Cricetulus griseus: one gene and its partner. The main gene of each other region encodes a partner of the protein of the gene in region 2 in a complex. Links are inferred from orthologs where the notes say so. Each region holds a gene or a part of one and is shown on either strand. Other genes may lie near its edges.

The links.
Region 1: the proteins of Samhd1 (region 2) and Dcaf1 are in contact, whole or in part, in a crystal structure (PDB 4CC9), measured with the Homo sapiens proteins. The link is inferred for Cricetulus griseus from reciprocal best matches to the Homo sapiens genes SAMHD1 and DCAF1. Residues at the interface, in NP_056289.2 of Homo sapiens: Ser616, Arg617, Val618, Gln619, Lys622; in NP_001336097.1 of Homo sapiens: Asn1090, Glu1091, Asp1092, Thr1114, Gln1116, Asn1132.

Annotation. Positions count from the first base shown.
Region 1 is NC_048597.1:215,038,500-215,042,840, reverse strand, and holds the start of Dcaf1 (DDB1- and CUL4-associated factor 1), read right to left. Parts: upstream 2,960-4,341; 5' UTR 2,821-2,959; intron 1-2,820. UniProt on the Homo sapiens protein: Acts both as a substrate recognition component of E3 ubiquitin-protein ligase complexes and as an atypical serine/threonine-protein kinase, playing key roles in various processes such as cell cycle, telomerase regulation and histone modification.
Region 2 is NC_048599.1:22,436,082-22,440,494, reverse strand, and holds the start of Samhd1 (deoxynucleoside triphosphate triphosphohydrolase SAMHD1), read right to left. Parts: upstream 2,914-4,413; 5' UTR 2,814-2,913; coding exon 2,606-2,813; intron 1-2,605.

The DNA of each region.
Region 1 (4,341 bases), on a different chromosome or scaffold from region 2:
CAAGGTTGCAGATCCAGGACAGTGGTAGAGCATTTGCATGTTATTATAAAACCCTAGGTCTGAATTCTACCTTATATTAAATAAAAGCCAGTCTGGTGATAGTGCATGTCTTTAATACCAGCATAGGCAGGCAAATCTGAGTTTGAGGCCAGTCTGGTATAGAGTGAGTTACAGGACAGCCAGGACTACACAGAGAGAAACAATGTCTTGAAAAAACAGCCAGGAGGTGGTGGTGCATGCCTTTAATCCCAGCACTCCATAGGCAGATCAAGTTTGATCTCTGATTTCGAGGCCAGCCTGGTCCATAGAGCACTTCCAAGACAACCAGGGCTATACAGAGAAACCCTGTCCTGATCAACTTTTTTTTTAATGTGCATTGGTGTTCTTGTCTGCGTAAGGGTATCGGGTACCCTGGAACCGGAGTTACAGACAGTTGTGCGCTGCCATGTGGTTGTTAAGAAAGAACCCAGGTCCTCTGGAAGAAAAGCCAATGCTCTGAACCACTGAGCCATCTCTCCAGCCCCAAAACCCTGTCTTGAAAAACAAACAAAAAGATAATGTGCCAAAGAATTTAGAAGTGATGTGCCTACAACCTGAAGTAATTCCACAAAATAAACACAGAGACAGAATATACAACAAAGCGGTTAACTGGTGAAACTAAAGATAATCACTTCATTTAGCTTTTCTACCGAAAGGGATTTTTGGTAAGATCCTGACTCAAAAATCAAGCTGGGCCGGGTGGTGGTGGCGCATGCCTTTAATCCCAGTACTTGGGAGGCAGAGGCAGAGGCAGAGGCAGGCGGATCTCTGTGAGTTTGAGTCCAGCCTGGTCTACAAGAGCTAGTTCCAGGACAGCCTCCAAAGTCACAGAGAAACCCTGCCTTGAAATCCCCCCCAAAAAGAAAAATAGGTTCTATTCTACACTATACTTAATAGAAGATTCAGCAAAACTGTCCCCAAATATAAGATAAAGTCTGTTAAAATAGATCCTGTGCCACGAAGAAAAAGAGGGAAGACAGCACTCCTTCAGGAAAGTTGCAACCCTTACTTAAAAGAAGTAAAAGGTGTAGGTAAATGATAAGGCCTGTCCCTGAGACTCTAAATTCAATTCCTAGCACAAAGAAAGAAGGAAGGGAGGGAGGGAGGGAGGGAGACAGGCAGGTCAACTTGAGCTTGTGGTGCACACGTGTATCACAGAACTTATAAAGCTGAATGAGGCACATTCACAAGTCTGAGACCAGCCTGGGTTACAGAGACTCTATTTCAAAAGCCATAAGGGAGGAAGAGAGCCCTGGGTCAATCCCCAACACCACAGGAGAAAGGGGAGAAATTCCGAATTTACAGCTTCAAGCAAAACCTTAACACTATGACACATAATCACATAACTATTACTGTCCTGTGTACTTTATGAAAACAACAGTAGTTATAAACCAACTCCAATCACTTCAATTTAACATGGAGCTCGTTTTATTACATTTTATTAAATTTAATAACTGAACAAGACAATGTAAATAAAATGTTATGCTCAAGAAATGTGTAAAATTTCCTCATATTACCTTAACACCCAAAAATATACCCCTACTCGAAAACTGTTAATGAAAAACTGCTATATACAAACACAAATCTTGACATCTGGAAGAAATATACTGTATCAACTCCTAAAGTCAAAACAGGTTTATAAAAGCCTTAAAGGTAAATGCCAGGAAACACGGGCGGAGGGGGTGGGGGGAAGCCTTCAAGTGATGCTACCAATGAACCTCTCCAACTACAGCATTAACAAAGGGCTTGCAACAGGATGATAGTGCTACAATAAATTAATAATTAAAACACGCAGAATAGTTAAAAGGCTTCACAGGAAAGAGATACAAGAAACTGGCAGACGGGGGCGTTAATAGTGCACTGGGGGGGGGAGGCAGAGGCAGGCAAATCTCCGAGTTTGAGGCCACCCTGGTCTACAGAGCCAGTTCCAGGAAGAAGAGAAAGAGAGCCAGGAGTGGGGGAGACAGACAGAGGGGGGCAACAGGAGGCAGACAAAAACGAGTGGTAGTCATTTATTCAAAACTCTAAGAGTTAATTCCTCAACAAATGGAAAAAACAAAGAGCTATCACTGCAGTAAGAGCAAACAGACCGACACCTTCTAGAAACAGGACAGAGCATGGCAAACGGCCCGCCCACCAGAAAACAACTAAGAGCCCTGGGTACGAGCTCCCAAGAAGCCTGGCAGGCAACCTTAGGTCGGCACCCACACACCTCTCTGCCCCTCGGCTCACCACTGCATGGTAGGAGTAGGAGGGGCTCCCGGAAAGCTCCTCCCCCTAGCCCTGTCCAAGAGCAGGGCGGGTGCAAGTGGGAGGTGGCACGAAGCCGGAGGAGGGGAAAGCCCGCCCAGGTGACTGAAGCCGGAGGCGGGGACACAGTCCGGGAAGGGGTCCACCGTGCGGCAGGGGAGAGGGAGCCCCTCGGCTCGTCAGAGACTCGGAGCGGACCAGAGAAAATGAAAGAGCACCTCCTTCAGGTAGAGGCGGGCACATCCCTGCCCCCCACTCCGGGCGGAAGAGTTACTCTAAGGAAGCTTCTTTGGAAGACTGGAGGAAGAGCCTGAGGCCCCGCCCCCGGGCCAGGGATCAGGAGGAGGAAAGTCCTGTCAGGCCCCAGGCCCAGCCTCCCGGGTGGTCCCGCCCGCCCCCTCGCCGCCGCCGGCAGCCGAAGCAGGTGCCGCCCCTCCCCCAGCGAGGCGCCCACTCTCCCGCCCAGCCGGCCGCGCGCTCGCTCTCCTCGCGCTCCCCACAGAGAGTCGGCTCCTTCCTGTCCCCGCTTACCTTCGCGGGCGGCTCCGCCGCTTCTCCCCGCACCCCTCCAGCGGCCACAGTTCACACACACCGCCTCTGGTCCCGCACTCACTCTCCCTCACTCACACACACAGCGCGACCACGGCTCCTGAGCGGCCCACATATTATGCGTCACTCGCATGTTACGTGCAGTGCGCGCGCGCGCGCGCTTGGCGCGAGGCTCGCGAGCTGGGAGGCGGGGGGAGAACGTCGGCGCGAGCGGAGGAACATCATAGGGCTCCTGGGAAATGAAGTTCCGCTTTTAAGGGCGGGAAGGGCGGGGGGATAGAAAGACCAGAAAGCACCTCCCCAGCGCATTGGCTTCTGGGATCCGTAGTTTTCTGTATTATACGTAAATTGCTGTGTATTTATTGGCTGTTTCCAAAAGCGGAAGCGAAAAGTGAAGGAAGGAATCGATCTTTCTAAAGCCCGGCAGACTACCGCTGCCTGATAACTTTGCCAATACGTAATTCTACCCTGTGTAATCGGTAAGGCTCAGTAGTACTGGTATTGACACATAAGCCTTATAATATGCCAAAAATGAATCTCGCACAAATGTATCAAAAGTTGCAGTACTCATTAATAAGAAACTCACTGGTTTTCCTTTGTCTTTCTGTTCAAAACATACTCGGCAAGAATCAAAACAGCATTCGTTGCTACGTATTTTATGTGAGGAAGAAAAATTAAAAAAAAAAAAAAGTCTTCAGCCAAGACTTGACTAACCACAGAGGTCATCTAATTCAATTTCTTAATTTTAAAGTTGAGGAAAGTGAAACCCAGAGTAAATGACTCGCCTAATATCACCAACCAAAGTGAAGAAGCATCAGGGGATCTGACTTTGACCCACAGATCCTATGTGAGGGCATGAAAGATAAACTCCACAATTGAGCAGAATCTTGACAAGACCTACCCAGACGTCAGGCCTGATGCAACTCATTATTGCTCTTGGAATTCTGAGTGTGTTCTGTGCGTTTCCATAGAGTTCTCGCAGTCAATACTTTCACATGGAGATTGTAAGACACTGTGGACCTATTGTTGTGAACAGATTCTATGGCTGTTAAGCCAGTATCAGCCAGGCAGTAGTGGCATTTGTGAGTTCAGGGCCAGCCTGGGCTACAGAGCAAGTTCCAGGACAGCCAGAGCCAGGGCTACACAGAGAAACCCTGTCTTGGGGGGAGGGAGGGAGGGAGGGAGGAAAGAGAAGAAGCCAGTATCCCAGATTTCAAACTCAAGTCCACCACCACCCTATCCCACCCACCTGAGTTCTCCCCCTTACTTGTGTAGCTTAGAGTAACAAGCAGCTAAAAGTAAAAATTCTAGAGGGTGATGGCAGTGCCACAGGCATGTAGCATGTCTTCAGTCACTCCTCTTGCCACAGAACAGCTTTCCCCTGTGCTTCTGAAATCTCTGGTCTCTTGCTGTGATGACCATTATCATTCAATTTGTCTTTACAGCAGGCCTGGCTTGCATCAAGACCAGGGCAGGTAATGCCAGCCAACTTTATGGAGGAGA
Region 2 (4,413 bases):
TATACACAAATTCTAATGCATTTTATATGTGTGTGCACTTGTGTGTACTTGTCGGAAGCTGGAGGTCAATGTCAGGTATTTTCCTTAATTACTCCTCTGCCTGGTATTTTTCTAGGATTTATTCATTTTTTATTTATGTTTATTCGTGCTTGTATCAGTTTATGTGTACAATTCAGATAGAGTGCTCAGGGAGCTACTTATCTCTGCTTCCTCACCTCTGGGGTTATAAGTATGCACCATTAAACCCAACTTTACGTGTGGGTGCTGGAATTCAGAGCTCATGTCTTCATGTCTGCATGGCTACTGACAGAGCCATCTCCCTGGCCCCTGTTGTAACATTTTATAAAATAAAATATATCCGGCATGGGGGTATGTGTGACTCAGTGATAGAGTCTACACATAGCACGAACAAAGCCCTAGATCTCATCCTCCATATTATATACTTACACACAAAAATTCCCCTTCCCCCAAAATCTTGTAAAATGAATATAGCAAAACTTCATACAAAGAATATACTTAATAAATGTTAGTCATCACTATTTGCTATAAGTCAAAAGGCATTGCCAAACAGTCCATGGTTGAGATAATGGACATGTCTATCAACTTTATTGAAATACATATTTCATCTACTAATAATCTTTTCTAATTATTAAATTAAAACCCAGTATATTTTAAAAATTACTATTAGGTTTGGAACTGCTTTACTTAAGTTTATTGGTAGGTTGTTAATGGTCTCTTGATATTTTACTCATTATTCTACAGGATAGATTTTCCCGCCATGGCTTTTAGTTGATTTTCTAATTTTGGTTATGTTCTCCATATGTAGCCCAGGATGGGCTAAAGACCTAAGGCTGGGACCGGAAGTCTTGATTATTTTGCCTCAGCCTCCCAAAGAGTAGGATTACAGGGATATGTTCTCCTGTCACTTTTATTGGGAACACTAGTTAAGAAATAACCGGAATGAATTCTGGAATCTAAAGACCTAACCTCTAAAAATTCCAACTCTGCATCTTTTGTCTAGTGGTGTGACTTTGGAAAGCTACTTAACATTTTTGGATATAAAAACATCATCTAGGGCTGGAGAGATGATGGCTTAGCAGTTAAGAGCACACACTTCTTTTGTGTACCTAGAACTAACTTTAGGCCACTCACAACAGCCTTTAACACACCAGCTCCAGAGGGTTGGATGGTGTCTTCTGGCTTCTGTAGGCACTACACTCATGTGATACATTCTCCATCTTCACCCCATTGAAAAGACAATCAAAAATAAAGCCAGAAGAGATGAGTCAGAGGTTAAGAGCACTCACTGCTCTTGCAGAGGGCTCAGACTCAGTTCTCAGCACCCCCATGGAAGCTCACAACCACCTGTAACATCAGTTCTAGAGGGAGCTTTACCCTCTTCTGGCCTCAAGGACACCAGGCACACACACGGTGCATATACACATATGCAGGCAAACCACTCACACCTATAAGATTAAAATAAAATATTGCCAGGTGTGGTGGCGCACGCCTTTAATCCCAGTACTCAGGAGGCAGAGACAGGTGGCTCTCTGAGTTCGAGGCCATCATGGTCTGTACATAGAGAGTACCGGGACAGCCAGAGCTACATAGAGACACTGTCTTAGTACTCCGCCCCCGCAAGTTACCTTCCTGTAGAGGGTGAAGTGGGGAAGGGAAAAAGAGAAACCCGAGTTTCTGCATTTAAACTATCTTTATGTCCTGAACTTTAAACTTCTCACTCTGTCCTTCAATTAGGCATACGGGGCTCCGCCCCACAAGAAGTAAAGTTTACTGAATTTGCAAATCATAACCACCGAAGAGCCACGTTCCCAGCGAACACCTCATGGGATCATGCAAGGGGTTAGGCTTCACATCTACCACAAACAAGTTGAGTAGATTACAAGTGTTTGACTGGAGCATGAGCAAATGTCAGAAGAGTCACTTAAAATTCTCAGCCTGTACCCTCCCCTTTGCGTGGCCAAGTTGTGGAATGCTGGGGTTTCAGTGGCCAACTGAGTAAGTTGTTCTTATTTTGGAAGAGAAATTGATCAGTGGCACTCGGCAAATGCAGTCAGCACAAACTGAGCCCTACTGGGATGCTATGGCAGTCAGTGAGAATCTGGAGATTAACCAACTTCCCTCCCCTTTAAGCAAAACCCCAAAATCCGGGAACGGCTTAAGAAGCGAAACTTAAAAGCGCCAAAACCTCTCTTGGGGTCAAGTGTTTTGGGAGCTGCGGTTAGCACAGGAGGTTGTCCCCAGCCTGGCAAGCCTGAAAGACCGCAAGCGGCTGCCGGAGGTCTGGGGGGCAAATCTAAGAAGGGCGGGGATCTCTCCTGTCAGAAGTGACAAGTTCCCGAAGGCACCCATCCACCAGAAGAAGACGCAAACCTCCCAGGGCCCCTCAAAGCTCCCAGAGCCAGCACCTTCCTATGGGCTCACACTTGGCCTGCGCCCACCTCGGGCAGCCCGCCTGGACGGCTGGCGTCGGGGCGCCTCCCGCCTCAGGTCCGGTTCCCGCCGCGAGCCGCCCCCCGGGGCCTCCGATCCGTGAGCCTCCCCCTGCGGATGCCTCTCGCGTGGGTGCTCCCCTCAGCCCCGTTACCTTTGAAGCTGTCCAGCACTTTCTTGTCTTGGAAGCCGCATCCCTTTAGGTAGGAGCACACGTCCTCCACTTCCCAGGTCTGGAGGTCGATGTGGAGCTCGGAGCCGGGAGACGCGCTGGCCGCTGCAGGAGGGGTTCTCTGTGGCGTTCTTGGGCTGCTGTCGCAGCGAGGCCGCTTAGCGGGCTGCTCGGGATCTGCTCTCCTCATGGCTACCTCTGACAGTGTGTGCAGCCAACTTAAGTACCGCGGCACCCGGCTCGCGCGCAGCCGCACTGACGGCACAGCCCCGGAGGCAAGTCCATTCAGCAGCGCCATGCGGGCCTACTGCGCAGGCGCGCTGGCCATCGGCCCCCGGAGTTTGGCCTCCCTGGGGCACTAGCGCCCGGCCCATTGCGCAAGCGCAATGATATGTGCGTTCGCCCTCAACCCGCCCCAGTGTTTCTCCGAAAGGGCGGAGTTATTAGAGAAGCAAAACTCAGAGCTGTGGTTAAGCAGGAGTGAAGGCTGTATGTAGTCCAGGCCAGGCTAAGAGGGCACCTGGGGCTAATGAAGCTTCCACCACACTCCAGATTAAAGGGTCTTCTGGTGGACTGCAGGTACCTTCCTCTAAACAGGTACTTTTTGCTGGGTTTCAAACACTCCAAGCTGTAAGCTTGTAAAAAGTACCTAAAAGGCAACGAAGCGGCCAGTACCATTGCAGTGCAGAAAACAAGGGACAAAGGACTGGCCTAACTGGAAGATCCTGCAATGATTGCCAGCTCTGTCCTTTTGCATTTCACAAATTCACAGTTGGCTGACAGTGGACCACCCTAAGATGCCAGATTTATTTCCAAATAGACAGGAGTTTTACTAATTACTGGTTAGTGCCCAAATGATGGGCATTTTCTTTTGCTTTAAGTCATTTTGGCGCAAGACTCAAGCTTCCTCATAAACCCTTATCCACACATTATTAGTACAATGACCACTGCTAATAAAAAAGTCAACACCTTTTCAGAAACCAAGACACATCTACAGCTAGGTTATTTTAACACCAAGCAGTACGAATTAGATGCTTAGTGGTGAGTTCAACAGCTGCAGGTGACCTTGCTTAGGCATAGAATACTAGCTTGAGGCCCAGTGGGTAATCCCCAGCACCAAAAGAAAGCAAACAGGAAATCTGATAAACTGAAGTATTCTTAGCAAACAAAGTGCCCTGTTGTGTTCAGGCCACTTGTTCTAAAGACTTCACAAATACTGACACATTTAACAAATTTCAGGTGTAAGAAAGTTAAGTACAAAGATGGGGAGGAGGAAAGGAAGAGCTAAGAAATGACAGACAGCTTCTAAAGTCCAAGCTCTAAATAACTTGTTGGCCCAGAAAAACATGCTCCATCCTGTCAACAGAGTATTTGGTGAAAACATCCCACAGTTGTCAAGACTTATGGAACTGAAACAGAGGGTAAAAGAGATGTATTTTATGTCCATGATGGATGACTTGTGATTGTGTGTGTGTGTGTGTGTGTATGTGTGTGTGTGTGTGTGTGTGTGTGTTGAGACAGGGTTTCTCTGTGTAGTCCTAGCTGTCGAAGAACTGGCTTTTGTAGACCAGTCTGGCCTTGAACTCAGAGATCTGCCTGCCTCTGCCTCTGCCTCTCAAGTGCTAGGACTAAAGGCACCACCACCACGGCCCAGCTTTGATTTGTGCTTCTAAGATTTGTGGGGAAGGCTTTTCTCATAGCAATTAGCAATAGAAGGTGGTGATACAAACAGGGCTTTACGTTTAATCAATTAGATTTGTGTGTTCAGATTGGCCTAGCAAGATGGCTTA